Coturnix japonica: one gene and its partner. The protein of the gene in region 2 binds, or shares a complex with, the protein of the main gene of each other region. Links are inferred from orthologs where the notes say so. Each region holds a gene or a part of one and is shown on either strand. Other genes may lie near its edges.

What was found.
Region 1: NBAS (region 2) and RINT1 share a complex: the UniProt entries of both Homo sapiens proteins name them as parts of the NRZ complex. The link is inferred for Coturnix japonica from reciprocal best matches to the Homo sapiens genes NBAS and RINT1.

What each region holds. Positions count from the first base shown.
Region 1 is NC_029516.1:12,590,027-12,606,223, forward strand, and holds RINT1 (RAD50-interacting protein 1), read left to right. Parts: upstream 1-473; 5' UTR 474-634; coding exon 635-811; intron 812-879; coding exon 880-1,121; intron 1,122-1,975; coding exon 1,976-2,149; intron 2,150-2,225; coding exon 2,226-2,375; intron 2,376-3,647; coding exon 3,648-3,804; intron 3,805-4,528; coding exon 4,529-4,639; intron 4,640-4,840; coding exon 4,841-5,066; intron 5,067-6,936; coding exon 6,937-7,074; intron 7,075-7,816; coding exon 7,817-8,016; intron 8,017-8,439; coding exon 8,440-8,654; intron 8,655-9,179; coding exon 9,180-9,360; intron 9,361-9,443; coding exon 9,444-9,562; intron 9,563-10,281; coding exon 10,282-10,498; 3' UTR 10,499-10,544; downstream 10,545-16,197. Other genes in the region: EFCAB10 (EF-hand calcium-binding domain-containing protein 10), read right to left, coding at 11,435-11,468, 11,728-11,812, 11,956-12,120, 12,270-12,369. UniProt on the Homo sapiens protein: Involved in regulation of membrane traffic between the Golgi and the endoplasmic reticulum (ER); the function is proposed to depend on its association in the NRZ complex which is believed to play a role in SNARE assembly at the ER.
Region 2 is NC_029518.1:90,202,892-90,219,088, reverse strand, and holds part of NBAS (neuroblastoma-amplified sequence), read left to right. Parts: intron 1-1,406; coding exon 1,407-1,600; intron 1,601-3,061; coding exon 3,062-3,319; intron 3,320-4,065; coding exon 4,066-4,191; intron 4,192-5,834; coding exon 5,835-5,986; intron 5,987-6,792; coding exon 6,793-6,927; intron 6,928-7,189; coding exon 7,190-7,268; intron 7,269-8,253; coding exon 8,254-8,358; intron 8,359-8,628; coding exon 8,629-8,765; intron 8,766-16,197. UniProt on the Homo sapiens protein: Involved in Golgi-to-endoplasmic reticulum (ER) retrograde transport; the function is proposed to depend on its association in the NRZ complex which is believed to play a role in SNARE assembly at the ER. Required for normal embryonic development.

The DNA of each region.
Region 1 (16,197 bases), on a different chromosome or scaffold from region 2:
GCACAGCTGTTTTAATTAAACACGAGCTTCTTCCGGGGAAAATGTGTGCATTTTCAGCTTCACCAAGACAAGGTACTGGGAATAGTTAACCAAACACAACGGTGTGTCAGTCCGTAGCGCCTCGCTCTGTCCCTGGCTGAGCCAGCCTGCTGCTGGGAGGCAGAACGAAGCTGCATTTTAAACGATTCTAAACCAAATAGGGAATTCGTGCTGCTTGTGTGAATAAAACGCCGTGAACGGAAGGTGCTCCCGGCTCTGTGCTCCCTGAGGTGGGGTTATGGGGGAGCTGTGTGGAAGGGGCGGGCGCGGCCATGGGGGTGGCTGAGGGGGAGGCGGGTGCGCATGCGCCTCTGGGCCCGCCCCGGCTGTGATGTGTGCGGCCTTGGGCCGCGCTGTGCTGACGCGGCGGGGCGGGGAGCGAGGGGCTGCGGGGCCGGCGGTTTGATATTGCTATTAAAGGCCTCGTTTTAAAGGCCGGCATGGCTATTAAAGGCCTCGTTTAATGTTCAGGTGAAGAGGAATCGCCCTGCGTTCCCAGGAGCCCCGTGTCCTCAGTAGGTCGGTAGTTGGTCGTGTTCCCTTAGTGGTAACCAAGTAGAAATTACGTAAATAACATTGCGGAAAAAAAGAAGGCATGGCAGCCGTTAATGTGCCGAAGAAAGAAGTCGTCAGAGATCCGGATCGCTGCGATATCCCGTACTACGTTTCAGAATTTGTGGAAAGAGAAGTTGGGAATGACTATGATTCTCTGAAGAAGCTGGGCAGCCTCATTGAGAAGCTGTCTGAAAACAAGAGGCAGCTGGAAGAACAGGTAAGTGTCTGTGCTCATTCTCCGTGTGATTTTTCTGTGTGAGGCTTAATGCATGTCTGTAAATGCAGGTTCTCACGGTTTCATCCGAAGTCCCTAAAAGAATTCAGAACGCCTTAAAGAATGCAGAGGACTCAAAACAATCTCTGAATCGGCTTCTAGAGGAAGAAACTCTCCTGTCCGATTCCATCAGCAGCCACTTAGAGAAAGCTGAGCCGTGGATGGAGGATCTCGGGGTGCTGATCAGCCAGGTGGAGGAGATTGAGCATCACCTGGCCTATCTGAAATGGATTTCCCAAATAGAAGAGTTAAGGTAAAGCCGATGTACTTATGGAGAGTTCTTACTAGTGGTATCACACAGCTTCTTCAAAGATTCAGTGTTAAATAATCACATTTAAGGAATAAACGAGAGCAGCAAGTTGTCATCTGGCCATATAAACTGTTAACGTGTTCTCTGGTGAGAACTGGAAGTTATTGCTCTGGCTTAAGGAAGAGAACAGTAACTGTGTCGATATGTGGATGGAACTCTTTCACCCACTGTAAATTATGGTGTAAGAACTAAAATAATACTGGAATATCTTGAGCGGAAATGTTACGCTTCAGACTTCGTGATTCTGAGTTTTCATTCTGGTACACTGATTTTATCGTAATGGGAATGAACAGTGCTGTTTTAGTTAATGTGATTTGTAGCTTCCTTCAGTGGAAAACTTTGTGTAATGCTTGTAAAGAATGTCAGAAATTGGAAGATTCCTTTGGGTCAGATTTTGTACAGAGAGACTTAAGTTATGAAACAACTTGGTCTGAGCTATGAAAATGTGACAGGTGTGCTGCAGTCTGAAATTTGCTTCCAGTTTTCCTCCTGGGAAGCGTGAGGAAAAGCAGATCTTTGAACAAGTTCCATAAAGAGCAGTGCTTCAAAGAACTTCGGGCCTCCCTTCTTTCCTTCTGCCTTCAGGTCTCGGTGACAGGCAACTTAAGGAACTTCACACAAAGAACTTGTTTCGTGAATCCTTGCTGTAGGATGTATGTGATGGGAGTGGTAACCTCGTTAAAGTATTTCAGATTGAGCATGTTTTCTGCCAGTTTCTCAATATGATGGTTCTTTTGTGTTATCTTTAGTGAATTTTTGTCTCAACTCTTCTTGTATTTATGTTCTTGTGTTCATAGTGATAACATTCAGCAGTATCTGATGACCAACAATGTTCCGGAGGCAGCCAGTACTCTAGCGTCTATGGCAGAACTGGATATTAAACTTCAGGAGTCATCTTGTTCTCATCTTCTTTCGTTTGTGAGATCCACTGTTAAATTTTGGCATAAAATTCTTAAGGACAAGTTGTCAAGGTACAGGACGACTCATCACTCCCTCATTTCATGTTGTGCCGTAGCTTGGTGGTAAAGTGTGTGTTTTGTGTTGCAGTGACTTTGAAGAAGTGCTGACCCAGCTTCGTTGGCCATTTGTGGGGCCACCGCAGTCTCAGGCGTTTGGCCTTACTGCGCCAGCCAACGCTTCTGATGTTTACAACAATTTAGAGGTTTTGTTCTGCCAGCTTCTGAAATTGCAAACATCGTATCCTTTAAAAGTGTAAAGAAAATTGCCTTGGGGGTGTTGGTTGGTGCTTAGCTAAACATGAGCCAGCAGTGCACCCAGGTGGCCAAGAAGGCCAATGGCATCCTGGCTTGTGTAAGAAATAGTGTTGCCAGCAGGAGCAGGGAAGTGATTGTACCCCTGTACTCAGCTCTGGTGAGGCTGCACGTTGAGTACTTTGTTCAGTTTTGGGCCATTCACCACAAGAAAAACACTGAAGCCTTGGAGTGTGTCCAGAGAAGGGCAACAAATCTGTTGAGGTGTCTGGAGCGCAAGTCTTGTGAGAAATGGCTGAGGGAAGTGAGATTGTTCTGTCTGGAGAAGAAGAGGCTCGGGGGAGACTTCAGCTCTCTCTACAACTGCTTGAATGGAGATTGGTGTAACTGGTGATAGGGTGAGGGAACTGTCTCAAGTTGTGCCGGGGGAGATTGAGGTTGAATATTAGGAACAATTTTTTCTCTGAAAGAGTGGTCAGGCATGGGAATGAGCTGCCCAGGGAGGTGGTGGAGTCACTGTCCATGGAGGTATTCAAGAAACATTCAGGTGTTGTACTAAGGGACGTGGGTTAGTGGAAGAATATTGGTGGTAGGTGGGTGGTTGGACTGGATGATCTTGGGAATCTTTCAACCTTGGTGATTCTGTGGTTCTATTCTGCGATCCTGATCTGCCTTTGAGGTAAATCAGAAGATGCTGCTCATCCTGTTCCTTTAGTTTGAGGGTAAAATCAGGCAGAGATAAAACTCAGGCTTTTTTTTCTTTCTTTTCTTTTTGTTTTTTCCCAAACAAACAAAACCCAAAACAGGAATAAATGTGGTCATGTTATGCAACGTGGCGCTGGAACAATTCTGGTTGGTTAGACCAGGCTACTTGCACCAAGGTGGGAAATCACATATTGCAAGTATTATTTTAATGAATCTTTGATAGTCCTTTACGAAACATGGATGGATGTCTCTTGGGTACAGGTTTGGGAATGATGATGGGGTTCTGTTTCTTTTCATGATAGTGATTTCCTAAACCATACTGACTTCAGTGACTTAAATTGTCATTGAATAAATAATAATTAGCAGCCAGAGTTATGTTAAATATTTTATAAAACTGAAACGTTTTGAGCATTGTTCAAATTGGAGGCATTTTATAGCTTGTGTGCCTTCGGACAGTGAGGTAGAGCTAAAACGTATTTGTTTTTGTAAACCCATTGTATTTAAATGATACTTACAGAGAAATTCAGCATTTCTCCTTGACTGTCAAACTTAGAGATGAGCTGTTAACCAAACCCAAACAGCTGCCAGAAAAGTACTCCTTACCTCCATCACCACCTGTTATCCTCCCAATACAGATCATGCTGAATCCTCTGCAGAAAAGATTCCGCTACCATTTCACTGGAAATAAACCAACCAATGTTTTAAGCAAGGTATGGAAAGAAAAAAAAACAGTTTAATTTTATTGCTACTATTTTTAGCAGCATTAAATTACGTAGCTTTAATGCTTTCATTTTGGAAATTCAGTTTCTTAAAATACGTGGTACTTGTATGTACTGTATGGACAGGCATCAAGGCAGTGCTTGGAGACCTTTGAGAGGACTAACATCTTTTCTGGGCTAGGCAATGTTTTTCTGAAATCATTCCTGCATTCGCTCCCATCATTTCAGAAGCATAGATTAATTTAGTCTTTGTCTTTACAAATTGTTTTGCAGTGTTCAGTATTGCTTGAACTCAAAGACTGTATAAGGCTCTGACTTTGATTTTTGTTGTTGTGTTTTGCAACGTTCATGTGACTGAAAATACTGGATCCTGCTGCTGGTGTATAATGGGTATAATTCTATTTGCCATGTGTCCAGTTTACTAGTTGGAAATTGACTTGCTTTTTGTATGAGTTATCTCCAAAGGCTGAGTCTTTTCATCCAAGAACTGTCATGTAAGCAGGTTTCTTACAGGTGTAACGTTAGCACTGCTGTAATGCTTCTGCAGCAGGATTTGAGAGACACTTTTTGTAAGAGATTAGATCTGTGTGTTTGTGTTGACAGTCTTAGGCAAATCAAAGTGTATTTGCACTCTGGCAGTTGCTACTACAGCGTATTTTTAATAGCGTTATGTATATTAGTGAGTTCACTAATTTAATTTTCTTTTTTAAATAAGCCTGAGTGGTATTTGACACAAGTGCTCATGTGGATTGGAAATCACGCCAAGTTCCTTGATGACAAAATCCAGCCAATATTGGACAAGGCAGGATCGCCAGTGAATGCTGGGGTAAGCACCTCAGTGGTTTTGTGTATGTATAAGTACCTACACAGCTTGTGCAAGCAACTCTTCTGCTGATCTTAGTGTGCAGTGAGACTTAACACAGTCCAGCAACAGTTTTAGAAGTTAAATACATTTGCACATATTTATACATGTCTATACCTCTGATTTTTCTATTCACTTTTTTTTTTTTTTTTTCTCTTTTAAAAGCTTGAATTCTCTCGTGCTCTGGTAATGCTGATTTTGGAGAAGCTGGCTACTGATATTCCATTTGTGTTATATGACGACACTCTCTTTTGTCACCTTGTGGATGAGGTACTTCTGTTTGAGAGAGAGCTATTCAGTGTTCATGGTTATCTCAGCAGCTTTCCCAGTTGCATGCATATTCTCTCAGAAGAGTCCTGCTTCCAGAGATGGCTGACAGTGGAAAAGAAATGTAAGACTTGGAAGGAATTTTGTTGGTCTGTATATGTTTTCATTCTGATTGGGCAATATATCAATTCCCCAGGTAGGATGAGCCACTTAAACTACAAAAGACATGTTTTTGAGGTCAGCAGTGAGTAGAATGCCCAGGGGTCAGCATTGGTGCAGTCCTGCTTAACATCTGTACTGATCTGGACACTGGGTGGAGTGCACCCTTGGTAAACTTGCAGATGATACAGGACTATGGGAAGTGGCTGATTCTCCATAGGGCTGTGCTGCTACCCAGAGGGCTGTGGACAGGCTGGAGCCCAGGTGGGCTGGTTATGGCGAGAAACAACTGCTGGCACAAGGACATACTGGAGGCCACCCAGCTGGAAAGCTGTTCTGCAGAAAGGGATGTAGAAGCCCTGGTGGACACTAAGTTGAACGTGAGCCGGCAATGTTCTCTTGCTGTCCTGAAGGCTAATGGTGTCCTGCATTAGGCAAAGTATTGCCAACAGTTCAAGAGAGATGATCCTTCCTTCCCTCTATGCTCAGTACTGGTGAGACCACTACTCCTGCAGCAGTACTGTGTCCAGTTCTTCCCCCGCCAACATTATGTGGGGAGACATGGACATACTGGAAAGAGCCCAGTGTAGGGCCACCAAGATGATAAAGGGACTGGAGCACCTCTGCTGTGAGGAGAGGCTGAGAGCTGGGGCTGCTCAGCCTGGAGAAGAGGAGGCTCCAGGAGATCTCATCACCATTCCGTTCCCCTCTACTCTGCCCTTGTGAGGCTCCACGTGGAGTACTGCTTCCAGGCCTGGGGCCTCCAGCACAACAATGACGTGGAGTTATCAGAGTGGGACCACAGGGCCATGAAGATGATTAGAGGACTTTAGCATCTCTGTTATGAAAAGGATGAGGCAGCTGGGATTTGTCAGCCTGGAGAAGAGAATCATAGAATTACTCAGGTTGAAGGCCTCAAAGATCATTAAGTCCAACCACAGCCTAACTGTAGTACCCTAACAACCCTCTGCTAAATCATATCCCTGAGCACCACATCCAAACAGCTCTTAAACACATCCAGGGACAGTGACTCAACCATCTCCCTGGGAGCCTATTCCAGTGTTTAACTACCCTTTCTGTAAAGAAGTGCTTCCTAACATCCAACCTAAACTTACCTTGGCACAACTTCAGGCCATTTCCCCTTGTCCTGTCACCAGTGAGATTTGCCTCTTGATGAGAAAGCTCTAGGTAGAGACCCCATTGTGGCCTTCTGGTAGTTAAAGGGAGCTTATTAACAGGAGACACGATCTTTGTTAGTTTGCTGTGGAGGACATGGCCCTGGTCACCCTGTTATAGGTGCTCCTCCTTAAGCAGGAGTTTGGTCATACAGACCCAGGTCCCTGCCAGCCCCACCCATTCTGTGATACTCCAGTATTCTGTGGTTATTTTGACTAAAAATTGGTTTGGCTGCAGTACTGCTCCTGAAGTTTATAGGACCATTGCCCCTAATCTAGTATGGTTATTTAACATATAATCTAGGGATCTAGTATGTTTATTTTTAGATAGTGTTATACGCTTATTTGTGCAAAGACTGACTTGAAATTGAAACGAAGGGAAGGTATTAATTTTTGAGGAAATGGGGAGGAAATATACTGGAAAGGAACCAGTCATTTAAAACAGAAACCACAGTCAACCCTGATGTTCTGTTTGTGTCTGTAGTGCTGTTACTGCAGCTGGTTCTATATAAATCAAGTCATCGGTAGTTTTTCTTTACATGAAGACGTTAAATTCAATTTATTGGAGATAAAGATTTTTATATTTATGGTTTTTTGGGCTTTAGATAATTGCTTTTATTATTAAGTACTAACAGCATTTACAATTCTTTTGCATCTCAGTTGCTCTTCAGAAAATGGACTCTATGCTTTCATCAGAGGCTGCATGGGTATCACAGTACAAAGATATCAGTGATGTGGATGAGATGAAGGTCCCAGACTGTGCAGAAACTTTTATGACTCTGCTGTTAGTTATAACAGGTAACTGCAAATCTATGGGTGTTCCTGTTGTTAATGAGTAGCAGAAAAATGGCAGCTAATTGATTGCTGTATTGAAGATTCCTTGTGTGAGCAACAATCACTGAGTAAAGTTGTTGCAGTGTTGCGATAGTTAAACAGTTTTCATGTTCCTCTCTTGTGTTTTGGGCACAAATGTCAGGACAAAGAATCTGGAGCTAGTGGCATGTTTAGGAAGTAACAACTGAAAAATGACATTTGATATTTACCACCCTAATGCTAGAGATGTTACAACTTGTCACAGTGCAGTAATAAAAATACATCGCTATTCCTTTTCAATCTCTGAGAACTTAAGAAGCAGATGTTACTTAATAGCTGTTTAGAACAGGAGCAAGGATGTTTTCAGAAGGCCTTGTTTGCATACTCACTGCCTTTGTCGTACTCTGCATCTGGCTTCAGGAGCCCCATGAGACTGCTAGATGGTGAGCTGTGGTAACATTACTTAAAGCGTTAGAATACAGTACAGAACCATGATGGGATGGAAATCCCAGTTATGTTGTTTGTTTACATACTTAGCTTTTGCAGTGAGTAGTTTCCTTGATACTGTTGTGAGTTGGGTGTTTTGAAGCTAAGTGCTGTCTGATGCTTCATAGTAGTAAGGATATATAGTAAACTGCCAGTAATGTTTCTTGTTCAAAACACTTTTCTTCAGTGCTGGAAAATACCAAACATAATATTATAATGATAACATTATATTAATTCCCAGACAGGTATAAGAATCTTCCAACGGCTTCCAGAAAACTGCAGTTCCTGGGGCTACAGAAAGAGTTAGTTGATGATTTTAGGATACGATTAACTCAAGTAATGAAGGAAGAGAGTAGAGATTCTTTAGGCTTCAGATACTGTGCGATCCTCAATGCCGTTAACTACATAGCAACTGTGCTGGCTGACTGGGCAGACAATGTAGTAAGTAAATATTGTGTTTTAATATGAATTCAGCTTGAATAAAAAAAGATATTGGTAGATTACTAGGCACTGTTCTAGTTTTATTGTTGCAGATGGGATGGGGAACAAGGACAAGTGATTTTGGCTATTTGAAAGTGTTCTGCTGTCTTAAAGCACATACTTATTATTTCTCTGAATCTGTTCCTTTGACCAGTCTGCTGTTGTATTTGAAACCCGTATCAGTTACAGTGTTAGGATTAAAGCACAGTGCTTTGTTTTTACAGACATGGGGACCATGAGGACATTGTTTTTATAATCTTAAAATTGTAAAACAATGAGAGTGTCAGAAGAGTGTTTTCTAGAACCCTACCTGTTAAAAGTACAAATGAAAAGTTCAAATAAGGTTATTTTTGGTAGTACTTACATCTGACTGTCTTTCTCCAGTTCTTCTTGCAGCTACAGCAGGCTGAACTGGAGGTCTGTGCAGAAAGCGATGCTGTCAGCCAGCTGCAGCTGGGGCAGCTGGCTTCAATGGAGAGCTCTGTCTTTGATGAAATGATCAACCTCCTGGAACGCCTGAAACACGATATGTTGAGTCGTCAAGTGTACCACGTCTTCAAAGAGGTCACAGATGCTGCAAAGCTGTACAAAAAAGAGAGGTGATTCCATCTGCTCACACTCTTCTTGTATTGCAGTGGTTTCTTTTTCAGTTAAAAACACTGAGGCAAATAAAGGCAAGAATAGAAAAATAAGAAAAATCAGTTTTCTGAATAGGAAGGGCTCAGAGTAGTAAGCATCTGAAGGTTTGGTTTTACACTGACATCAAAGCTATTTAACATTATGTTTTCTAAAGTACGTCTGCAATAAATGGGCACATTACCTTAAAAAAACAGGATAAGTATAGTTCAGATGAGAATTGTTCTCTGCAAAGTAGGATTAAAAGTGGCATGTAGTGACTGCTTCTGTCTTCACAGAATCTCAAGGTTTCTTGGCTGGTTGATGATGAGTTCCTAAAATACTTCAGTAAACAATTACAATAGCTCAGTGATTACTTTTAGCCTTGACATGGAAGGGGAGAAAACTGCACCATTGGAAACAGCTGAGATTTAAGTGATATTTTAACTTCAGCTATTGTAACATGAATAATTTCATTGTGATGAATTCAATGTGACTATTTCTTTCAGGTGGTTATCTTTACCATCTCAAGCAGAGCAGGCGGTAATGTCTTTGTCAAGCACAGCTTGCCCAATGTTGTTGACTCTACGGGACCGATTGCTTCAACTAGAACAGCAGCTCTGTCACTCTCTGTTTAAGATATTCTGGCAAATGCTCGCAGAGAAAGTGGACACTTACATATATCAGGAGGTGGGTGTTCACAATATACACGTGGTACAGTGTAGGTGATGGTGGCTGGCCTAAACAGAAGATACACCCGTTTCTGTTGGCAGATAATCATGGCGAATCATTTCAACGAAGGAGGAGCAGCACAGCTTCAGTTTGACATGAGCAGAAATCTTTTTCCTTTGTTTTCACACTACTGTAAGAGGCCAGAAAACTACTTCAAGCAGTAAGTAGGAAATCCCATCTGTCAGTATTTCAAAAGAGGATGTCCAGATGCATGTGTTTTACACATCAACAAGGATTTTTTCAGTTTGAGAGGGGAAGAAACACTTAAAATATGTGGATCATCTGTGCTCCTAGGGAGGCACAGTGTTGACATTTATAACAGAAAATACTTAGCAAGAATAAATAAGCTATTTCATAGAATCATAGAATGGCCTGGATTGAAAAGGACCTCGATGATCATCCAGTTTTAACCCCCCTGCCGTGTGCAGGGTCACCAACCACCAGACCAGGCTGCCCAGAGCCACACCCAGCCTGGCCTTGAATGCCTGCAGGGATGGGGCATCCACAACCTCCTTTTAACAATAAACTCTACTACAGAACCAGGCACTCAGCACTTCCAGCTACGATCTAGCAAGGAGACCTGAATTAAATCAGAAAACCTCCTTGGGCAACCTGTTCCAGTGCATCACCACCCTCTGGGTGAAAAACTTCCTCCTAATATCTAATCTAAACCTTCCCTGTCTCAGTTTAAAACCATTTCTCCTTGTTCTATAACTGTCCACCCTCATGTTTGTTTTATGCAGTACTTTCCAGTTCAGTACTTCTGATCCGTTTCAGAAGTCAGCAGGAGCTTTTTTCCTTAGTTGCTGGGCATACAGAATTAAGTATCCTGTGGTTGCTTCTATTACTAATCTATGTATACCTTTTTCCCTCTTATAGCATCAAAGAAGCCTGCATTATCCTGAATCTGAATGTTGGTTCTGCCTTGCTTCTGAAGGAAGTACTGCAGTCAGCCTCAGAAAACGAAGCACCGTTACAACCAAACCAGCCATCAGCAACAGCAGCGTTAAATGAACTGGGGGTTTACAAATTAGCACAACAGGATGTTGAGATTCTTCTCAATTTGAGAGCTATTTGGCCAAATGCAGGCAAATAAAGACTTTCTTCAGAAGTGGTTAAAACTTAATCTAGATCACTTGTTTCAGAAACATAAGCAGCGAGCTGTGTCACGGCTGTGAGCTAAGCTTAGTTATTTTACATACAGTTCCAGAGAGATGACTTGAAGATGCTCCGGTCCTGTCTTCTAACCACACAGGTCTTACTTTGTTTTCCATCACTGCTTTGTTTGCACACTTAGAAGCTGACGGGCCCTTCATTACTAATGAACGTGTTACTTGTTCTCTGATGATCTGCCTTGTGGAGCTGCCGTGCTGTCACCTTGATGTGATGAATACAGGTGCATGTGTGTGACTGCAGCTACATACAGCATGTCCAGCTGGGGCACTCTCACTTAAGCACATGTGTTTTCCACTTCTGAATCCCCAATGCAATGGGTGTTCTGTGTTAAAATGTGCACAGGAAGGCTGGGCATGGAATGAAGGAATATATCACTGTTTTATTTATCAACACGAATTCAAAATTCAATTTATTTCTTTTGCTGTCCCAAAGTGCCCTCTATTTTTTGAACAGGACTTCATTTATGCTTGAGCTTTAAAGGCTGTTATTTGGCAGTGCTGTCTTTCTCCAAACATGAACGTGCTGAAGCTGCTGAAGCTGCTGATGTTCTTTTTGTACCAGCACTGAAAGGCCACAGTTGGAGGAAGAAATGCCAGAGCACGCACTTTGGATTTGTAAAAGGGGTTTCTACTTAATCAGGCGATCTTATTGTAATTAATACATTTCTAGTGCCTGGTAAACATAAATGTGTTTTTGTTGTTTGTTCTTTACAGCTAAAATGGATGGGGAAAAAAATAAGTGCATATAGTCATAAAACAATAAGTGCATATAGCAATAAAGTCAGCTTGACGCACTAGTAAATGGATGAAGCAAAGCAGCTATTCTAAATACACAGAGCACAGCACTGTTCCAACTACTACACGGTCCAGCCTTCCAGCAGTGTTTTCAGCCTAGGACAGAAGAGAACATCTGGTTAGGCAAGTTAGGATAACTGGTTTGGTTATTTATGGTGGCTGTAAGTTACCACACAATGTCCCTTGAAGGATACCATAACCAGCAGCAATTAGAACAACCTGGAGCTCGCTTCATTGCCGTGTTACGGCCTCTGCTGTGGTAAAACATCAGGCAACGACAGCTATTCTATGCTGCTGTGGCCTGCAGGATTGCCTGATGCTGCCTGGGTTGCACGACCCTTCCCACCGCACTCACATCTCTTCCTTGAACGTGGCCAGTCCGATCTCCTCCTCGTCCCAGACGCGCAGCTCCGCCGTGCTCAGCCCCAGCGTCTCAAGAGCTGGGGGAAGGAAAGCGGCCCCTGAGCAAGTCTTCGAAGGATCGATTTACAAGCAGAACGCGGCCGGGATGTCATTGTAACAGTAAACATCTTTAGCATCCCGAAGCGCGGGCTGTGTCGGCACAAGTGCGGACGGGACCGACCTGCTCGGCACTGCCGGCCCGTGACGAAGCCGCGCCCCGCGGCGTCCATCATGCGGAACATGGTCTCCACATCCGCCTCGTCCAGCACTGCCGGCATGGCCGCCCCGCCGCGCCTCGCCGCTCGCACCGCTTCCAGCGTCTGGATCAGGAACTGCCGCGGCCGCTCTGTAACGGAGCGAGGCCGGGGCTGCTGCGGGCGACCCGAGTCCGTCCTTCGGGCCCCTCCCCGCGGCCACCCCGACGGTCTCCTGACGGAACCCGTCTCCCTCCCCCCGTTCCCCCGTTTCCCCTCAGCCGCTCCCCGTGCTCCGCACCGGGCCGGTGGTACAGCAGCAGCGCGGCGAGGCGGTGAAACAGCGCGGGCAGCCCGTGCCGCTCCAGGTAGTCGCGGCTCTGCTGCTCGCCCGCCGCCATGGCGCGTTGCTACGAGACACAGCCGCCACAGCCGCCGGGCGCCGCCCCTCACAGCCCTCAGAGCCGCCAGAGGAGGGAGCGGGGCGGTGCTCGGGGCCGGGAGGGGGCGGTGAGTCCACGGCGTGTGGTACCGAGCGGTTCTGCTTCAGCGGGCAGCGGCCGTAACCAGCGCGAAACGCACCGCCACAAACCGACACCTGCAGTGTGAGCACAGCAACCGCAGGAGTCAGTCAGCGCGCTCTGTGAGGAACGGATCCAGGAATCACCAAGCGAAGCCCATGGGGACGCACACACACACACACACACACACACATATATGTATCATTTCTTTGTTAAGAAAGCACAGTTTATTTCCTTGAAAAACGTCTCGGGTGAGCTCTGAGATGCCCCCCTGGGCTGACACGGGAGGAACTGCTTTTCTGGTGATGGAGAAAAGCAGGATTTGACAAAACAACTGAATGATTCCTGGGTTCACCACAGCAGTGCTGATAATTCAGTTTTAATCACATCTGCAAGGATCAAATCTATTTTTGTGTGTTTAATATGGTTACTTATATAAACTGAATTTTGCTATAAGACTATCTGCTGTGGCAAGGAGATGAGCCTCTTGTAGGACACAACACATAACTTCAGACTTCCATCTCATTACAAAGGACTGCACAGACTGCAAACAGGCCTAAAGAGTGAAACAAAGAGGAGCAGGGCCTGCAGGCACCACAGGTTCTGCACAGAGAAGTTCTTCACAGAGAGAGTGGTGAGGTGCTGGCACAGGCTGCCCTGAGAGGCTGTGGATGCCATGTCCCTGGAGGTGTTCAAGGCCAGGTTGGATGGGGCAGCCTGGGCAGCCTGGTCTAGTATTAAATTGGCAGCCCAGCATGTAGCAGAGGGTTGTTGTGGGGCTGTTCCAGAAAGTAATGCCATTTAGTCTGTGACACAGTTAGCCAGCCTTTGTGGAAGGGTGTCTGTGGCTCTTTGGAAACAAAGACTCACAAGAGTCAGTACTGGAACTCACGGGAGCGAATGGTCCAGTAACACTGCAGAGTAGAAGAGGCTTTGGAGAGTGTTAGGATAAAAAGCCCAACACAGAGTCTGTTACATGCTCCAGGAGCAAACATACACTTGGCTTGTTCTCGGCTGAAAGGAGCACTTCCCTTTGGCTTCTTTGCAAGTGTCCAGCTCCGCAAGACAACCCAAGCGAATGGAAAGCTTTGTGTTGTTGAGAGAAACTAAGTACTATGGGCTGATGTGCCATACATCAATGGTAGGGAAGGTTAAAGGGTTGACGTAATCCTTTCCAGGCCACATGTGCTCACCTGTGACACGGCTCTCCAAATCAGCACTGAGTACATTTGCCACTGGGAAGGGAGGATGGCTGCTCTTCTGCAGTGATGCTTTGTCACTACTCCCCCTCCCTGGCTGGGTCCAGGCCCAGATGCAGACACACGGGACTCACAAGTTTATCGGCCACTTACTGCATTTACACCACGAGGCCCTTACAGCCGTAGCATTCTGTACATTTACTTTATGCCAAGCAGCTTTTCTGAAGAATGAGTCCTGTGTGGTGTCACATTAATCTGAGCTGCTCTGAATCAACCAAACCCTGCTTTAACTTCAGAACCAAACCTGACAGGTTTGGAAAACACACAGAGGGGCAGTAGGATGCTTGGCACCACATGGAATCCCTTCTGGTGGCTCTACCTTCAAAATGAGTCTCCCCTGGATCCTGAGGATTTCTGGCAAGCGTCCCTTGAAATGAGGAAAGCTTTTGGAATTCTTCCTTTCTCCCTTCTGTAGGGAGAGCTGCTCACAGACTCCATCTTCATGTTGCTGCAGGTCAGCCCTAACCACTACAGAAGGCACCATCCTCCCTCCCCAAAAAAAGAGAATCCAGCTCATGTAATTTGTGATGCATTACGAAACGAGAACGGGAGAGCATGCATGCCATCTACCGTGCATTCTGCAGCTGGGAACTCAAAGCAGGGCCTGCTACTGAGTTAGTGGCTGCATCTGCTTTCAGCCTAGGAAATGAAGTTTTAAAAGTCGTCTGTACTTGTTTGGAGTTGTAACTTTCAGGAGGTGCTCATGGAGAAAAACAGCAGGAAAAAATGCATGAAATAAACACAGTTCAAAAGTCTGAATCTGCTGCGTGAATCTCCTCCAAACATTTCTGGAACCAGAACTTGGCCTGGCTTCCAATCATCAATCCTGACAGATTTGGATGAGTAAAACAGATCCTGGTTGCAGAAAGCAGTGGCTTCTACAGCAAATATTTCTCTGCTAAGAACAGAAGCCTAAGAACTGGAGTGCAATAAATAAAAAGTTCTGGCGTGATTTGCTTACCTCTGCAACCGGTGGCATTTAGAGCGTGTTAGATAATAGGAGAATACTGTTGCGAGCAAAATACTTGTTGCATAACCCCGAAGGGTGTGGGAAACCAAACAGAGAACAGCTTGTAAAGCAGGACAGCAAAGCTGCGAGCGCTAATAAATGACTCAGTCATATTTGGAAAATAAACGCAGGGTCCTTGACCTCTGCTGGCTGTGAGCGATGATGGCGAGCAACCAGTAACTCGTGGCTGCAATAATCTCTTGTCTTGTTTGTATCCCTGATTTCTATTGTCTGTAAGAAACACCATCTTACAAGCACAGTGTCTCTCCAGCTTACATGGAGATCGCTCCCTTTCAGATGAAACTTCGATGTTTCCTGTGACCAAACGCCGTTTGGTTTCTCTGCTGCATACTGAAAAGGATAAACTCAAGACTAAAAAGAAAAATGAAAATATAAGCAGCCCAAACATCCTGTGCGGTAAAGGGGAAGTTCAGGATTAGCTTTTGCCACAGACATCAAGAAGAAGCGAGACATTACACAGAAGGCTGTTCAGCTAGAAGGTAAAGTCTTCCTACTTCTGTTTCCTGTAACCCAGGGCAGCTTGCTATCTCCTCTGCCTGTTCTAAATGCACGCATACACAACCCCAGCTTGATTTCTTGCTTCCAAGGCCATGCTGCAATGATGTCTCTCCCCTACAGTATCTCCAAAATCGTTGTTCCTAACAGAACAACACGAAGTGTACGCGTTGCCCAGACCAGCAGAAGAGGTTTGCTGAAAGAAAAACCAGCAATGCTCTGCATAGAGCTCACAAGGCACCCAACAGGGTACGTCTCATCTGAGCCGTAACTGGAGCGGGCTTTTACACAGAACAAGGATCGCAGCACTCAGAGATAAAGGCTGCATTTCTAGAATTAACAACAGCAAAAAAGACCGTCTGTATATTTGCACTGCTCCTTGAAGTCAGAATTCCTCAACCCAGCAGCTCTGGCGAGGTTAATTCTTACACCAATAAGAAGAAAACACATTCAGCTAAGGAAAGGAACTTAAGCATAACTGATCGGTATAGGACCCTCGGTGGCTGAGGACACACGTGTGTGTAAGCACAGGGATATTTTAGACACGAGTGCCAAACATATTTCCAGATCAGCTCAGCCCTGCAGAGGGAGCTGGCAGATCTCCGGCACAGCCTCGCACTGCTGGCATCCACCCGCATGTCAGCCCCAGGGAAGAACAGGGGCAGCCCTGCAATGCAAACTGCTTCTCCCCTGTGAAGGGAAATAATGGCAAAACTCAGCTGTTTCTTACAAACATATAAATTATTTTATTTACAAAGCCATGTTACAAAAAAAAAAAAAAAAAAAAAAAGATAATAAAATTAATAATAATAATAAAGCAAAAACAAAAACAAAACAAAACAAAAACAAAAATACAATCGCTCACTAGAGAATATCTCCAGGCCCGGTGCTGAACCATGGCAGTATCAATCAGATACATGTTTG
Region 2 (16,197 bases):
AAATCATTTTGTTGTTAAAAAGCATTTATAGTAATATAAAAGTATTTGAAATAGCTTAATTTAACTACACTTACAGTAGTTGACAAGATGGTGTATATGATTTGAATTTGTAGCATAGTATAGCTGAATAAACATCACGATGTGGTTTTTAAAAATCCTCTCCTGGGAGTATTTTCATAGATGTAGCCATAAATAAAAGGATATTTCAGCAAATATAGGCCTTCATTAATTGTTACTTCTATGGAATGCTGAATGCTCAGCAGAAGTCTCAGCTTGTGTCATAAGCCATTACTTTTTAACACAATAGATAACGTATTTTTAGAGACCACAGCCTAAGACAGAAGCTTACCTTTACCTTTTCTGTCTATCTGTATATATTCTATATATCTAATACGTCTCAAATACTAATGCAATTTGAAGAGCTTGTTTCCTTTTCTTTCAGAATTTGACTCTTATGTTCTTTGTCTGGTTTTGCCGTATGTCAGACTTCTTTTCCCAAAATTCACTTAATCATATGCAGCCATTTATCTCCTGGGTACTTCATGGCTCTTCTATGAGTGCAGATTGTTACTTGTTCAAGATCCATTTACTGATGCTTGAATTTGTTTTTGTTATTAAAAGCTACCCATTTCTTTGTGCTGTTTTCTTGGTGATTCAATTTTTGGGTTAAGATCTTCATGGCTAACCAGATGACTAAGCACTGAGGTAGCAGAAGAGTGTTAAGCTGATTTGTTTCTAACTGCTGTTTGGGAAAAGATAGCTTTTTTTCAGAGACATGAGAAGTGATAATATATTAAACAAATTAAGCTAGCTCTTTGTGGTGAACATTTTGTCCCAGCGTCCAGTTACCATGCAGGTGACACAGTTTCCTTCCTCATTATGCTGTTTTTTTAATCTTGTTGGCACTTTAATTTTCTTAATAGTGTCACCCTGTGGGCTGTTTCAGGAGCCTTGTTCACAGTTGTCAGTTTTCCTCAAAAGCAGTGAAACCTTTTTTGTTTCATCAATATAATGATCTTGGTTAGAGAGACTTGACCAAGGATGTCTAGGGAAATATTAAGGAGGCGTTTATCAGCCATCTAAGATTTGTCAAGTTTTATGCAAGTGAATCAGTTTATTGTGAATTCTTTTTCCAAATTATATTAAAAAGCAAACAGATTAAATAAAAAATTAAGTTTCTTCTTCCCTCCCCTTCCCTCCTATCCTTCAGCTAACTGGAATGGTTTCACTAAACTAGCAGACATAAAATACAAATTCAGTGAACCAAGAATGTATATAAAATAATAAATGCTTGTTAAATTTAGACCATCAGATGTTAACTCTTAATAGTTGAAGCCACTGCAGTTCTTATCTGGTGTTTAAAATTGCCTTTCCTTATATGGTGCTTTCTTATTTCTTTATTTCAGATAAAGAATCTTATTACCCACTGATAGATGTAAATTGGTGGGCAGATAGTTCTGTGATCCTGGCTCGTTGCTCTGGTGCATTGACTGTGTCATCAGCCAAGACATTAAGAAACTTGCTGGGAAAGTCATGTGAGTGGTTTGAGAGTTCTCCTCAGGTCACTTCAGCTCACGATGGAGGATTTCTGAGTCTGGAGGTGAGGAATGCACATAAGCAAATATAAGGAATGCAGTAGAAGCAGTGTTCTGTTGTGTATGTTGCATGCATATATGTGCTTATTAATAAGAAAAGTGATTCTTTATCTCTAGGCAGGCAATTCTGAACCTCCTGCAATTCAGATATCTATAAAAAACTTAATTGCCAAGTAACGTGGCAATTGCACTTAACAAGTAATTGCCAAGTGTAGATGGAAAACTTCTGGAAGCCTGCATCTGAATTAAAAAGTTTTGCTGCAGGAAACAGTTTGTGTCAGCTCACTTAAAAAAACCAAAACAAAACAAGAAACTGCTTTGTTAGTGCATTTGAAGAATACTTCAAGCATCCCTCTTGTTTTGAAACAGATGCTTGCAGAGGGAGTATGTTTACGGGAAGCAAGGAATAAATCGTAATTGACCAAGCCTTGGAAGGGATCTGTTTTTTATTCACCTTTAATAGGGTTCTAGGCAGGAGTAGAACATAACTTTGGTAATGAAGTAGACCAGGAATTTTCTTTGAAAATAAGAATGCTTACACTAGAATAGATCTTAAACATCTTAAATATTTAGCTGAAATAGCTGAGTACATACCAGAGCTTTTTGCGCACATTTCTGGCAAGTTTTGTTATTTAAGAAATGAAATAGAGCCAGTGACTGGCATGTTACAGCCTATGGAAGAACAGTTTGGAAATAGATCTGCATTGAACAGGAATCCATAATTTGCTTAGCTAATAGTTGAAAACATTGTTACACTCTGAAGTAAGCTGTATAATTATACTGAGATTAAATATAGATCTGTAAACAGTAGATCTGTACTGTCTGTGGATGGTATAGGATTGAGTGTATCTAGTATAATAATGGACTACTGATAAGAAGCCTTTGCCCTTGCTTTAGTAAGAAAGTGATGAAACCTCAGATCTAGAAGACAGACCCAGTCAGGGCTTGTGGAGAGTATTACTCAAGCTGAGAAGTAAAGGGTTTACAAGCGAAAAAATGTTGATTTTGAAATTGAACTTGATCCAGGTTTATAAATACCTGAGGTGTGGGAGACATAGTGGTGAGTCTGGTCTCTTTTCAGTAGTGCGTGGGGATAGGACTAGGGGTAATGGGATGAAACGACAGCATAGGAAGTTCCACACAAATGTGCGGAAGAACTTCTTTACAGTGAGGGTGACGGAGCACTGGAACAGGCTGCCCAGGGAGGTGGTGGAGTCTCCTTCTCTGGAGATATTTAAGACTCGCCTGCCTGGACGCCTACCTGTGTGATGTGGTGTAGGGAGCCTGCTTTGGCAGGGGGGTTGGACTTGATGATCTCTAGAGGTCCCTTCCAACCCCTACAATTCTGTGATTCTGTGTGATTCTGTGAAATTTGAAGTACTGGAAGTGGACATGTACCTCATTGTCACAAAGATATACTGTGTGGAAACTTTCTATTTTACCCTTAAGAACTGTCTTCTGTGCAGTGTGAAATAAAACTAGTTCCAAAAAGACTACGCTTGGAGAGCAGACCTGGTGATGAAGATGAGGGAGAAGATGACTCTGACTCAGATGATGAAAATTCTGCTAAGGACAGATACTTCAGCTACCTGAAGCAAGGCCTATATTTTGTGACAGAAATGGAACGATTTGCTCCTCCACGGAAACGTCCACGTACAATTACAAAGAATTTCCGCCTTGTTAGCTTAAGGTCCACGACTCCAGAGGAACTTTACCAGAGAAAAGTGAGTATAAAAGGGAAGATTCCATCTCTGGTAAGGAGCTTTAATTGAACAGATTTTTTTCTTCTTCTTATTTTTTAAGACTTGCTATTTTAACACTAGGTGCGTATTTCTAAGGGCCTCATAGACAGCAGTGTATCATGTTACCTAACATAAGTTAGGTAAAACCAGCATTGTAATTGAAGTAACAGGATGTTTGCTGGTCATCATGTTTCATTAGTGTGGCCAGACTCGTTGTGCTAATGTGTTTAAAAACAATGGAAGAATGGGTGGATATATCGAATTAAATTAATTTAGCTTGTTATTATCTAGGGAATGGGTTAATCTATACCTTGATATTGCTATTATATGAATGTTTTTTGAGACGTGCCATGCATACAAAGTAGTCTTGTGACTCACTTTTATCGCATAAGAGATGTGTCTTTATTTTGAAGGCAGTACTTTGTTTAGGACACTTCAGTTCTTCTAATGATAAGCTAAAACTATAGCTATTAGAGTTTTCAGGGGGTGCTGCTGTTGTAGTGATTGCCTACACAGCTTCTTTCCTTCTTACTGGGAAGTTTGTGGTTTTCCTAGAGGTTACTATCTGGCCTGAGTTAGGAGTTCTACATATTCTAATCGTACATTATGTTTGCTTTCCTACGTGCGTAAGCACACCCATAGTAATTATCCCTCTACCTGTTTTAACACAGAGAATTAATTATTGATTGTTTAATATTGACTTTCATTTTCATGTGTTTGCTTTTTAGATTGATAATGAAGAATATGAGGAAGCTCTGTCTTTGGCTCAGGCATATGGCCTTGATTCTGATCTTGTGTATCAAAGGCAGTGGAGGAAGTCAGCTGTTAATGTTGCTTCAATTCAAGACTATTTGGTGGGTTTGTTTTTATGACTTCAGCATTTTTATTTTTATATTTTATTTTTAGAGTTGCTGTGTAATCTTTGCAGAAATCTCCATTGTGTTCTAATTTATGCAGCATAAACTAGTGGCAGTTCAGAGAGCTGTCCTGTAAGTGTAAGAGAGTGTAAATGTAAGAGAGAGAGTCATCTTGTTAATTTAACTGAAGGCCTGATCTGGAGGACTTAGAGCTTTTATCTGAAATTAGAAAATATCTCCAAGGAGAAATTTCTATCAATGTGCTTTCTCTAGTGTAATCTTGTCTTCACATGCAGCATTAGATTGTTTCCTGGGAATAAATCATAACTGCAAATATATTGCTGTTAAGAAATTTCCAGGTATTGTAGAGCTATATGGAAAGGTTAGTTTGGTATCCATAGCAAAGGCTGAATAATGAAACTTGCATCAAATCCAGCCTGTAACTAAAGCTCTTCTGTAGAATCAAACATAGTTTTTTTGTTTGATTGTTTTGGCATGAGAAAAAATAATCCAGCAGGTGAGCATTGTCAAACGGCACAACCTACCAGTGTGTGGTGGTGTAAAATCTTCCAGGATATCAAGAGAAATATATGCTGATTTTAATTTTTTTTTTTCCCAGTCATCCTATCTGTCACAAAATCTCATAGGCATGTGGAGAGATCAATACTGAAAATGACTCCGGTGCTGTTGTGGAATACGTTGAATGTATAATATCTATATCTTTATCTCCGAAACATTATATTTCTGATAGTATAATCAGCAGAGATACTAATCAGAGAACAGAAGTAGTAATTTCTGTTCTTATTGCTGTTAAGTCATCTGGCATTTGTTCATTAGCTTTGTAAAGAGTCTTAGCTTCATTACATTAACAGGACAAAGTAAAATTCATGTACTAATAAACAAAACTGTAGATGACTGTTTGTGGAGTATTTTCCTCATCTTTTTTTTGGTTCAAATCATAGAATCACAAGGTTGGAAAGGACCTACAAGATCATCTAGTCCAACCATCCTCCCTTTACCATACCTACAGAAAAACACTAAACCAGATCTCCTAGCTCCCTATTCAGCCTCTTGAACACTGCCAGGGATGGCAACTCCACCACCTCCCTGGGCAGCCATTCCAGTGCCTGACCACTCTCTGAGAGAAAACTGACAGTCATCAGATTAACTTGACATTTTCTAAGTGGTAGAAACAAATTAAGATGCTTTAACGTCTCTGGTTTTATTGTTTTGGAGTGTGACTGGAAGACTTTGTGGGGAAAAAGTATATGGGGTTATTAGTTAACAGCCAGCTTAATATGAGCCATCAGTGTGCCCAACTGGACAAGAAGGCCAGTGGTATCTTGGCTTTATATAAGAAATAGTCAGCAGGAGTAGGAAGATGGTTGTTCCTATTGGCTTGGCACTGGTGAGGCTGCATCTCAAGCACTGTATTAACTGCCCAGGAAAGTGTTGGAGTCACTGTCCTTGGAAGTGTTCATGAAAAGGGTAGATGTGGCACTGAGGGACATGGTTTAGTGGTTGTGGTGGTTTTGGGTAGTTGGTTGGACTAGATAATCCTAGGGGTCTTTTCCAATCTTAATGATTTTAAGATTCCATGAAATGTGTAACAATGGGCCTATGCTTTTGTTCTTGGATAGAGCAAAATTAAGAAGCGTGCGTGGGTTCTTCATGAGTGTTTGGAAAGAGTTCCAGAGAATGTGGATGCTGCTAAGAAGTTGCTTCAGTATGGCTTAAAAGGCACAGACCTGGAGGCTCTTGTGGCCATAGGAAAAGGAGAAGATGGTGGCAGGTTTGGGAAGAGTGGTTTTTTTTTTGTTGTTGTTGTTTTTTTTTTTTTGTTATTTCTTTTTCTTATTTATTTCTGTTTAAATCAACTAATGAAGTAATAAGTAATAATTAAAATAATGATATGCTGATGAAGTGCATAAGAAGAATTACAGTGCTGTGAATCAAAGTACTTAAATATGCCCGCAAGCTGACTGTGTACTTTTTACAAAGTACTTTTGTACTGATCTTGTTGCTTTCTCTGGATATCATTTTATGCATCCTGGAGAACTTCCAGTGTCATTATTTTTTCAGTGAGGTTGTGTTTCCTCGGCCTTTCCTGGTAGCTGCTGCAGCTCCTACAAGGATATTTTATTGTGTATCTTAGTTGTAGTGATGCTTTGTTACTCATTTGAGGAGGGGAGCAGAGCAAAATACAGGGGTCAGAAATGCTTGCAGAGATGATTGTTATTCAGTTCCTGGTGGTGGAATAGGATGTTCTTTCTTTATCCAGTCATCTGTTACAATTGTACACTATAGAAATGCTGCCAATTCCACTGCTTCCTTTGGAATTTAGAAATATTTAACAGTCATCATTGTTGTGTTTTATTTTTTTAAGGAGGGTAGGGAAGAGGTGATGCCTTTTGTTGGCTTGGGCTGCATGTCTGCTTCTTACTGTAGCAGATTTCAGTATTACAATTTTATATGGAAGTTGAGATTTTTATTTAAGACTTCAATAGAAATCTCTGTTGATAGACATATTTAATAGCTATTTCCTACATCTTTCTGTTGTTTTTACCAGCATGAGTTGGTTGTTCTTTTGTCCTCCAGATTTATCTTACCAGGGGAGGCAGACATTGGTATTCCCTATGAAAACTTCTTGTCACCAGATGAAGAAACAGACACTAAAAAGGAAAAAGAGTCCAGGAAGAATCAAGAACTACTGTTATCATTAAACTTCTCAAAGTAAATGCAATGTTATGATCTATGTTTTACTCAGAATTACAAGATTCTTATAACTACGTAGTTAGAAGCATGTAGTTATGTTCATGTACATGATTACTAGTAGAAAAGCAGTGGAGACTTAAAATTAGTATTGTATTGTGTCCAAGTTCTTAGCTTATTAATTTCTCAGTATATTTTAGTTGTTCAAATATGTAATTATTGTCTTCATTTGTGTATGATGTGGTGTCGATTATAAATGTGAAAACATCTGTTTTGGATATAGGCTGACCCTGGAACAAAAAGAACTGTGCAGGAGCAGGCTGAAGTTGTTAACTTACCTTGATCGCCTTGAAACTTATGAGGTGAGAAACTTGGTAATGGCTTAAGCTCTTTTTGAGTTCCTATTACACAGATAGTCCTGTAACTTTTTTTTGTCACATCATCATATTTTTTTTGTTATATGTTGTAGTATTACTGTTTATAGTCTCCTTGAAATATAGCAGTCTCTCACTTGAGAAATGTGAGCTGTTTTCTATTCAAGCTAGTGTATTTTTCCTGCTTCAAGGTTGCAGATGGCTAGCTTTTAACTTTGAGGCATGGTTGGGCATGCTTTGAACATATTGTGTCCATTTGCCAGCGAAACAGCCTATTTCCCTCCCCCCCCCCCTTTTTTTTTTTTTTTTTTTGGAGCAACAATTGTTTAGTTAAAAGTGTATGTTAGTTGCTATTAAGAGGACTTGGCATTTACGTGAGTGTGTCATTAAAGTAAAATGTCAGGGGAAATCTGATGCATCTTAAATAATAAAACAATTTTGAGGATAGGGAATAATATACAAATGTATGAGATGTGGAATGTAGTACAGGATCACTTGCTTTGAAACTGCATCAGTCAGGCTAAGTAATAAGTCAGTCTAATTCTGATTCTCATCTCCTTCTCCTCTTTTTCTTTTCTTGAGTTACAGAGACAAAACTTTTTGGAATGGAAATCTGTATTTTATTTTTTTTTTTAAATTTAATTTTGCAGTTGATAGTACGAAGGTTGATTTTTACTGCATCCCCTTGTAACTAATGCTGTAGAAACTTTATTTAGAATAGAGCAGAGAATTGTCTTAGCTTATCAATCAGAAATGCATTTTTTTCCATACTGAGATAAATTAAAACCAACAAATAAAAGTAATCAAAAACAAACTAAAAGAAAGCAAGCCTCCACCATGTTTTTTTCCAGGTGTAGTTTATGTTTATTTGTGGTATGATGTATATGGTTTTGGGTGCTGTTGCAAATCTTGTATAAAATCGGGTCTGTAATTTTTTAATTATTGTTTTTTTTTGTTTTTTTTTTGTTTGTAGGAAATCCTTGGTGGTCCCCATTCAGCTGAACAGCACTATGATGGTGAATTCTTCAAGAAGTTCAGAAATCAAAATATTGTGCTTTCAGCAAGAACTTATGCTCGGGTATTAACATTTTCTTAATTTTTTTCATTATTGCTTCTTTGGTTTAGGTGTTTATTTGTTCCATTGAAAGTAGTTGAATCTCAATGGAAGTTTATGCGGAAGATGTTTTTGTTTGATTGTAAATAAGTAAATGTGGGGACACTCAACAAATTTTCTTTATTGAGGAAGAAAATTTTGAAGTCAAGGGTTCATTATATGACTTAAACTTGCATTACTTGCTCTGTTTCAGTCTGTATCAGTCTTCTGCAGTTTATTGTTTTTTATGTTTAGGAAAGCAATGTCAGAGCCCTGGAAATCTTGTTTACTTTCCATGGATCAGCTTTACTTCCACACAGACAAGCAATTCTCTCCAATTTTCCAGAGACTACTTCACCACATGAATATGCTTTCTTGTTGCCTGAGGCTTGGTAAGAACACATTAGTGGATATTAACTTAAATGTTACACATAAATTGGTTTGCATATATGATGATCTTCTCTAAGTCATTGCCTGGAATCAAGGAATTAGCTTTGTCTCCTGTGCAAATCTTCATTAGCTGTTTTACTTTGTGCCATTTGTGCAAACTTTTTGTCTTTTGGGGTGATTTACTCGAAAGTAAGGAATTTAGATGTTCTTATCTACATTACCCATAAGCACAGACTCTTAACCTGCAGCTTCTGATCCAAATTTTCACTGATGTGAGTAGAGGTCTGTAAGTGTTTTCCATGAACATGCAAAATTAACAGATAATAATGGAAGTGGTTTCTTTCTTTGTTTGCTTTTTCCTGGATGGAATATAAACATTGTATTCTTCTGAATTTGTTTTTAAATATTGTATAATCCTTAAGTAGTCAGTAACTTCAAAATCATGAATTTTCTTGTCACGGACTCTTACTCTCTCAAAGGAAGAATTAGGAAAGGGCTTTAATCCGACTTTCCTTTGAGTATAAAATGTAGTTTACTGTCAGTTTCATGTTGGCTATTAACTTAAACCTTCACAAGAGAGTCTTGAACATCATTCTACTGTTCTCAGTATTATTTAAAAGAAATTTTTGCTTCTAGGTTGTTTCTTTCAAATGCTTCGATTACAGAATTAGTTTTGAAGTGTATTGCTCAGTGCCCACATAGAATTAGTGAGGTTTCATTTTTTTAGATTTTTGCCATAGGACTTTGAACTCATACTTCAGAAGGATAGTTCTTTTGAGTAGATTAGAGGTTGTTGTTGGAGCCTTCCAGCATTGTAGTTGCATCTTTCATTTGGAAGTTTAAACAGTGCTTTCTGGGTAATTTGCTATGTAGAAGAGGTTTTATTCACATAGTCACTCCTGTGATATCTTTCCCAGTTTATAATGTTTATAAAAACTTTTTCTGAGTGGAAGTTAGTGTTGTTTTCTTGATACCTAATATTTGCTGGCATCCTTTTAGTCATTTTGTTAATATTAGGAACATGTTCAGTGTGTAAAAGCCCTTGTTTTATGCTTTTATTAAAGTAACAGATCATAAAGATAAATTGTTGCGATGTTTATAAAACAGAGAAGATGGATTCTGAATTTTCTCTGTTGTTTTAATAAGATATATGAGGAGGCAGGAAGGAAGGCTTTTCTGAATTGTTATGATTTATCATAGAATCACAGAATCACCAGGGTTGGGAAAGACTTTAAGTCCAACCATTCACCTATTACCACTAGCTCCCACTAAACCATGTCCCTCAACACAATATCCAGTCACTCCTTGAACACCCCCAGGATTGGTGACTCCACCACCTCCCTGAGCAGTGCATTCCAGTTCCTCACCACCCTTTAGAAGTAATGTTTCCTAATGTACAGCCTGAATCTCCCCTGCCACACTGTCTACATTAGGATGGCACTTGAAGTCTGGTGTCCCAAAAACTTTGAAGCACAGAAGTCGGTGTAGCAAAGAGGAAAAAAAGTAGTAGATGATGGTGTTTACGAATGTATTTTTGCAGAGTTATGATGATCATAATATATTATTACTCCTTCCATTTGTTATAATTATTTGTCAGCTTCTTTTATAATGATGGTTCCTGAATCTGTGCTGGGTCATGGGTATTCAGGCTCCTTCACAAAGGTTCATTAGGTACGTCATCTGTATCTTTTAAGACAACTAGAGTGAAGATCATAGAATTTTAGGTATTCAGAGGAGTTGATCTCTCTTTTAAAAATGACAGCTAGTTTATGGTTAAGATTGTTTCCCTCAGATTTTTAAAGGTAATCTCAGAGGGAAATAATGCTTTACCTCTATTATAAACACATAACCAGAGTCTTTTTGTTTTAATTTCTTTATCCTTTTATTACGTTTAACTGTTATATTGCAGCATTACAGTTCACCTTTAAACTCACAGAATTTGGGAAATTCGAATGTGAGGTTTCCTCAATATCAGTAACTTTGCACACTGCAGCAGTATGAAAAAGCCTTCACTTTAAATCGGTGACTTCTGTATGCTTCTGCTTTTTTACTCTTTAACTTCTTAAATACTGGGTTTCAGTCCTGGCTTATAGTGAATTTTTATTGGAGAGTTCTGAAAAAACTCCATTTGTACTGGAATAGGTGTGGAAATATTTTTTTAAAACTTCAGATGAAGCTTTTAAAATCAGATAAACATCTATAAACAAAAACATAATTAAACTGGGAGACTTTTAAGTGGTTTTCCCTTTATCTTTGCATTATGATACCTTCTCCTGAACTTGGTTTTTAGTTACTGCCTGTTGCACTGCAGTGTTTCAGTGACCGAGCTTAGTCTTTTTTCTTGTGTATATAATTGATTTGATAACTGAATGCCTATGAACTGTCAAACGTATACTCCCAGTTATGAGCTATTAGTTTCTTCTGCTGAACTGCCTTTTAGTTTAGTTCAGATGTGTTTATGTTAAGAGGATTAATCCCATAGTCAGTTTTGTTTTTGCTTTTATTCATTTCTTTAGCAGTACAGTCAGAGAAAACTTATGCAAGAAGAAAACACAATGGTTCTGAAGAAGAGCATCAGTGTAATTGGTATTAATCTCAAGTATGAATTTTAAAATCTCTAATCTTACTGTCGACTTAAAATTAGAAAAGCATGTTTTGAGGGTATAATTACATTTTCATGACTCTGTATGTTCATGCTCCTCTTTGCATTGATTTCTGGTAGGAAAAGAGAAGGTTCTTGTGATGTATGTAAAAAGTAGTTTGGAGGAAATGAAGTTCTTAAAAGTGGCCTTTGTAGGGATCTGGGCAGCTGCAGGGTTGGTTGAATTTGGCTAGTTGGATGTTGCTGAAAGTTTGCTGGTTGAAAGTATTGTAAGTAGTATTAGTCTTAAACGGTTTTTGAATATGGAAGTAGGAACTTAAAGCCATGAAGAGGCCAAGGGGAGCATGAACTGTTGACAAGGAAGGTGGGAAGTTTAAGAGGAGCTGCTATATGTGACCAGAGCTGCTGTTCACAGTGACCTGAGCATCCTGAAGGAAATGCAGACTTCTGTTCCTGTGAATGAAGAAACCTTTGGAACAGTGAAAGCTGTAGACTGACAGGAGAGAAGCTCTCCTGCAAAGGACCAGGAGGTCCTGATGAGCACAAGCAAGTCATGAGCCAGAAGCATGTCCTGGAAGCTAAGGCCAGAAGCAACATGGCCTGCTTGAACAAGAGCATACCCAGAAGGTGGAGCAGACTACTGCACTCATTCAGCTGCATCTAGAATACTGGATAACCAAGAAATATTTTGGTGAACCAGAGTGAAGTTAGCAGAAGAGCGTCAAGATGTTTAGGGATCTGAGCACTTTTAAAAGCCTGAGGGGACTTGGTGTCTTCATCAAGGAGATAGTTTTGGGGGAACCCAGGAGCAGTTTTCTCTTATCTTTCTATAGAGTGCGAGCTGAACTGCAGTTCTGATTTTGCTGTGTTTCTGTGATGTTTATGCCTAGCTTATCCTGTCTTTGTTTACCATGTCAATCTACTGCATGTGTGTTGCTGAACTGTACCTTGGCTTGCCTCCTATGTTATTCTGTCAAATTATATTGCTGATCTGGTCTTGCTTGTAGCTTTTCTATGGACAGAATTTCTTACACAAATAATCATAACACTTTTATAAATGTATTTATTTATAAATGTACATTTTTATAAATGTATTTTCACAGTGTGGTGGCAAGACTGGGAGTTCATCTGTGTCTTTAAGGTAGCCCATTTAGATTTTGTGAAAGTGGTTGCCTTACATTTTCACTGTATACATAAAAAAAACCAACACAGCAGTCTCCTAAATTGTGACTGAATAGTGTTGATTGGCATTTCGGTTGTTTAGGTTATTCTGTCCAGGTAATTTAAGTGTAAAAAATTTCTTCTTTTCCTAGGTTACATAAGAAGATAACTATATCATTAAAAACTAGTTTGATCTGTTCATGCAGAATCAAAAAGAAGACTTTTCTCTGGTTGCTAAGTTGATTTGGAAGACCTGTCATTGAAATGTGCATGGTAGGGGTTCTGAAACGCAGTCAACTGTGGTAGCCAAAAGCTGGGATACCTTTTCCACTATTTAATGTGGATCAATTCTCCAAAAATGGTGCTTTTGGCACTTTGTTTTAAACAGCAGCTGTATTCCACAGCTGGTGAATTTCATGTCTTACAGCCATTTATGGAAAATGAGTCACTCTCCTTCCCACCTCTTCAAAATGTGTCATATAGTAAATTGAATAGTTGTAAACCCTAAATATATGTATTCAGTTGTATAATTGCCATTAGTAATTTGTTACTGAACTAGCCCAGTTTTACATGCAGTATGAAAAATGTAGATATGTATGTCATGTCTGTTTATGGTGACATATCTGGGATGCATTTCTTATAGAATCCTAGAATCACAAGGTTGGAAAGAACATACAAGATCATCTAGTCCAACTGTGCTCCCGTCACCACTGCTACCACAAGCTACTAAAGCAGATCTTGTAGTTCCTCATCCAGATGTCTCTTGAACACTGCCAGGGATGGTGACTCCTCCACCTCCCTGGACAGCCATTCCAGTGCCTGACCACTCTGAGAGAAAAAGTTTCTCCTTCTGTCTAATCTAAACCTCCTCTGGTACAACTTGCTGCCGTTTCCTCAGGTCCTGTTTGTTGCCTGGGAAAAGTGGCCAAGTCCCTCTTCATCACAGCTTCCTTTCAGGAAGTTGTAGAGTGCAATGAGGTCTCCCCTGAGCCTCCTCTTCTCCAGACTAAACAATCTCTGCTCCCTCAGCCACTCCTTCTAAGATTTATGTTCCAGACCCCCCACTAGTTTCATTGCCCTTCTTTGAACACGCTCCAGGGTCTTTCTTGTAATGAGGGGCCGAAAACTGAACACATTACTCAAGGTGTGGGTTCATCGGTGTTGAGTACAGGTGGATAATTACCTCTCTGCTCCTGCTGATCACACTATTTCTAAAGCAGGTCAGGCTGCCATTGGCCCTCTTGGCCAACTGGGCACACTGTTGCCTCATGTTCAGCCAACTATCACCCAATACCTCCAGGTCCCTTTTCTCTGCGTGGGGTTATTGTGGCCAAAGTGCAGAACCCGGCGCTTGGCCTTATTGAACTTCATCCCATTCACCTCAACTCAGTAATCCAGCTTATCCCGATCCCTCTAAAAGGCCTCCCTACCCTCAGGCAGATTGACAGCACCTCCCAACTTGGTGTCATCTGCTATGGTGATTTAGCAGAGGGTTGTTAGAGTTAGGGTACTATGGTTAGGCTGTGGTTGGACTTGATGATCTTTGAGGTCTTTTCCAAACTGGGTAATTCTATTCTATGATTCTATGGTGGTTCATCCTCAGTTACAGAACTGTAACATCATAAAACTGTTTCATAAGGACTGCAGAACAGCAGAAACAAGAATTGATTTTTCCCATTGCACCTTGGCATGCACCAGGTCCAGTACTGCCATCAGACAAGGGAAGGGGTTGCTCCTATGTCCCCCTATATTAAAAAAAAAGTACATGTTTTTTAGTAAAAAGATACTGTTCTCAAGTATGTAAGAGTGATTTTTGATTTCAAGTCTGAATTCAGTTTGCACAAATTTTAGGGTTTTTTTTTTTTTTTTTTTAATTACTAATCTTCAATTAGATGAGTCTTTGAGACAGGCCTGCTGATTGAAATCCTTGGGGAAAAAAAATAACAACAAAAAACCACACTCAAAGTTGCTATTAGTAATAGAAAGAATTGGACTCTGACCTTAAAAACTAAATTAGACATTCCTCTTTTGAAAACCTGTCCTTGGAGAGAAAAATAATCTGTAGGTTTGAATAAATGCATTTGATAGGATACCGGATGCAATAGCATGGGTCTCTTTTGTCAAGGCAAAGAATGAAATGAATTGCCAAGCAAACACAGACAATAGAGTGGAAAGAGCAATACAGGGAGAAGTCAGCTCTTTTTGAGGAAATAGAGTTGAATATCTCCATAATCTGTCAGTTTACTGACCTATAATTATGTTTATTCTACTGTTGAAAAGGATGTAGAGAAAGGGAAAGAATAGGGGAAACAGTTACTCAGAAGAGAAAAAGCAACCAGAAGAATGATCCGCAAAACCAACCAAACAGAATCTCAGATAATGTTTGAATGAAATTAGTTTTGGGACATGTGATGGTTTCTTTTAATTGAAAGAGAGGGATGCTTGCCTTAGTTACTACAGTGTTCGATTCCAGTACCTTGATTTTTGGATGAGTGCACACTGCTGTTTCACTCTAAATTAAGCACTGTCTCTGACCTCTGGAATTTCAGTTTCTAGAGCAAAGGTGTGAAGTTGCTTAGCACAAGCAGAGAGAGTGGATGATGGATGTGATAAAATAGGCTCTGTGTTCCACATTCAGCAGACTACTTGTGCATGCTGAATTCACTTTCGAACCTGTCAGATTTATGTATTCTGTGCAGTCGTTCTGACGCGTCTCAGTGGTGCTGAATTTGCTGTGTATGTATTGCAAACAAAGTAATGGTAGAAAAATGGAAGCCCTGTCTCATAGCATAAGCTTGTTCCCTTCCCCAGCTCTTCCTCCTCAGTTTCATTTGCACTGAATGCTTTTGAGTTTTCAGGATGCATTTGGATTCCCAAAATCTTTCTCAGCTTACACTATTGTGATTGATAGCAGCTGTTGTTTGTTTTTGAGTTTTATAGCTATATTTCTGATGGTGACATTACAGTTACTGATACAAAAAAAATTGAGGGGGGAAAAGCAGGTCTGTGCTAAAATCTAAGTACCGTTTTGGGAAAAGAAACCAAACTTCTGATAAATGTAGTGATAAATATAGCTCTTTAAGTGTTTCTTGACAATTACTACTGGGATCTCCTATTATTTATTAGTGTCAAGACCGTTTTATTCCAATCCTTGTGTTTAAACTGAAATACAAAGGGATTTTCTAAACCTTTTAGATTGATAGCAGAAAGTAAGGATGGTTGGACACAATTAGATAGGGGCCAGGAGGGAGTTGTGAATTTTCTGGCATTGTTGAGGCAGTGAACGAAATAAGCAGTTCATTTGTGGGTCAGTGTATTGTGAACTCCACTTGGAAAGAGATTTGTCTGTGTTAAAACTGACATAACTGCTTAATTCTATAGGGATAAGATATTTTGTATCTATGTAGGAGTTTGTTTTCTTTTTAAACGTTGGTTTCCTTATGCATCTAGAAAATACAGTTAATGGTGATTACTATTCTTCTGCTGTGAGAAGGGAAAGAAAGATGAGACTGAGATCTGCTAATAAACATCTATGAAAAACCTAAGAAGTTAAGTAATTTCACTTCAGAAACTGACGTCTGTGGGCATCTGCAGGTTTCATTCATGCAGAAGCTTCTGCTGAAACTGGAGAGTGTTCTTGGTAGAAGGCAAAAGACCAACAGCAGATGTAA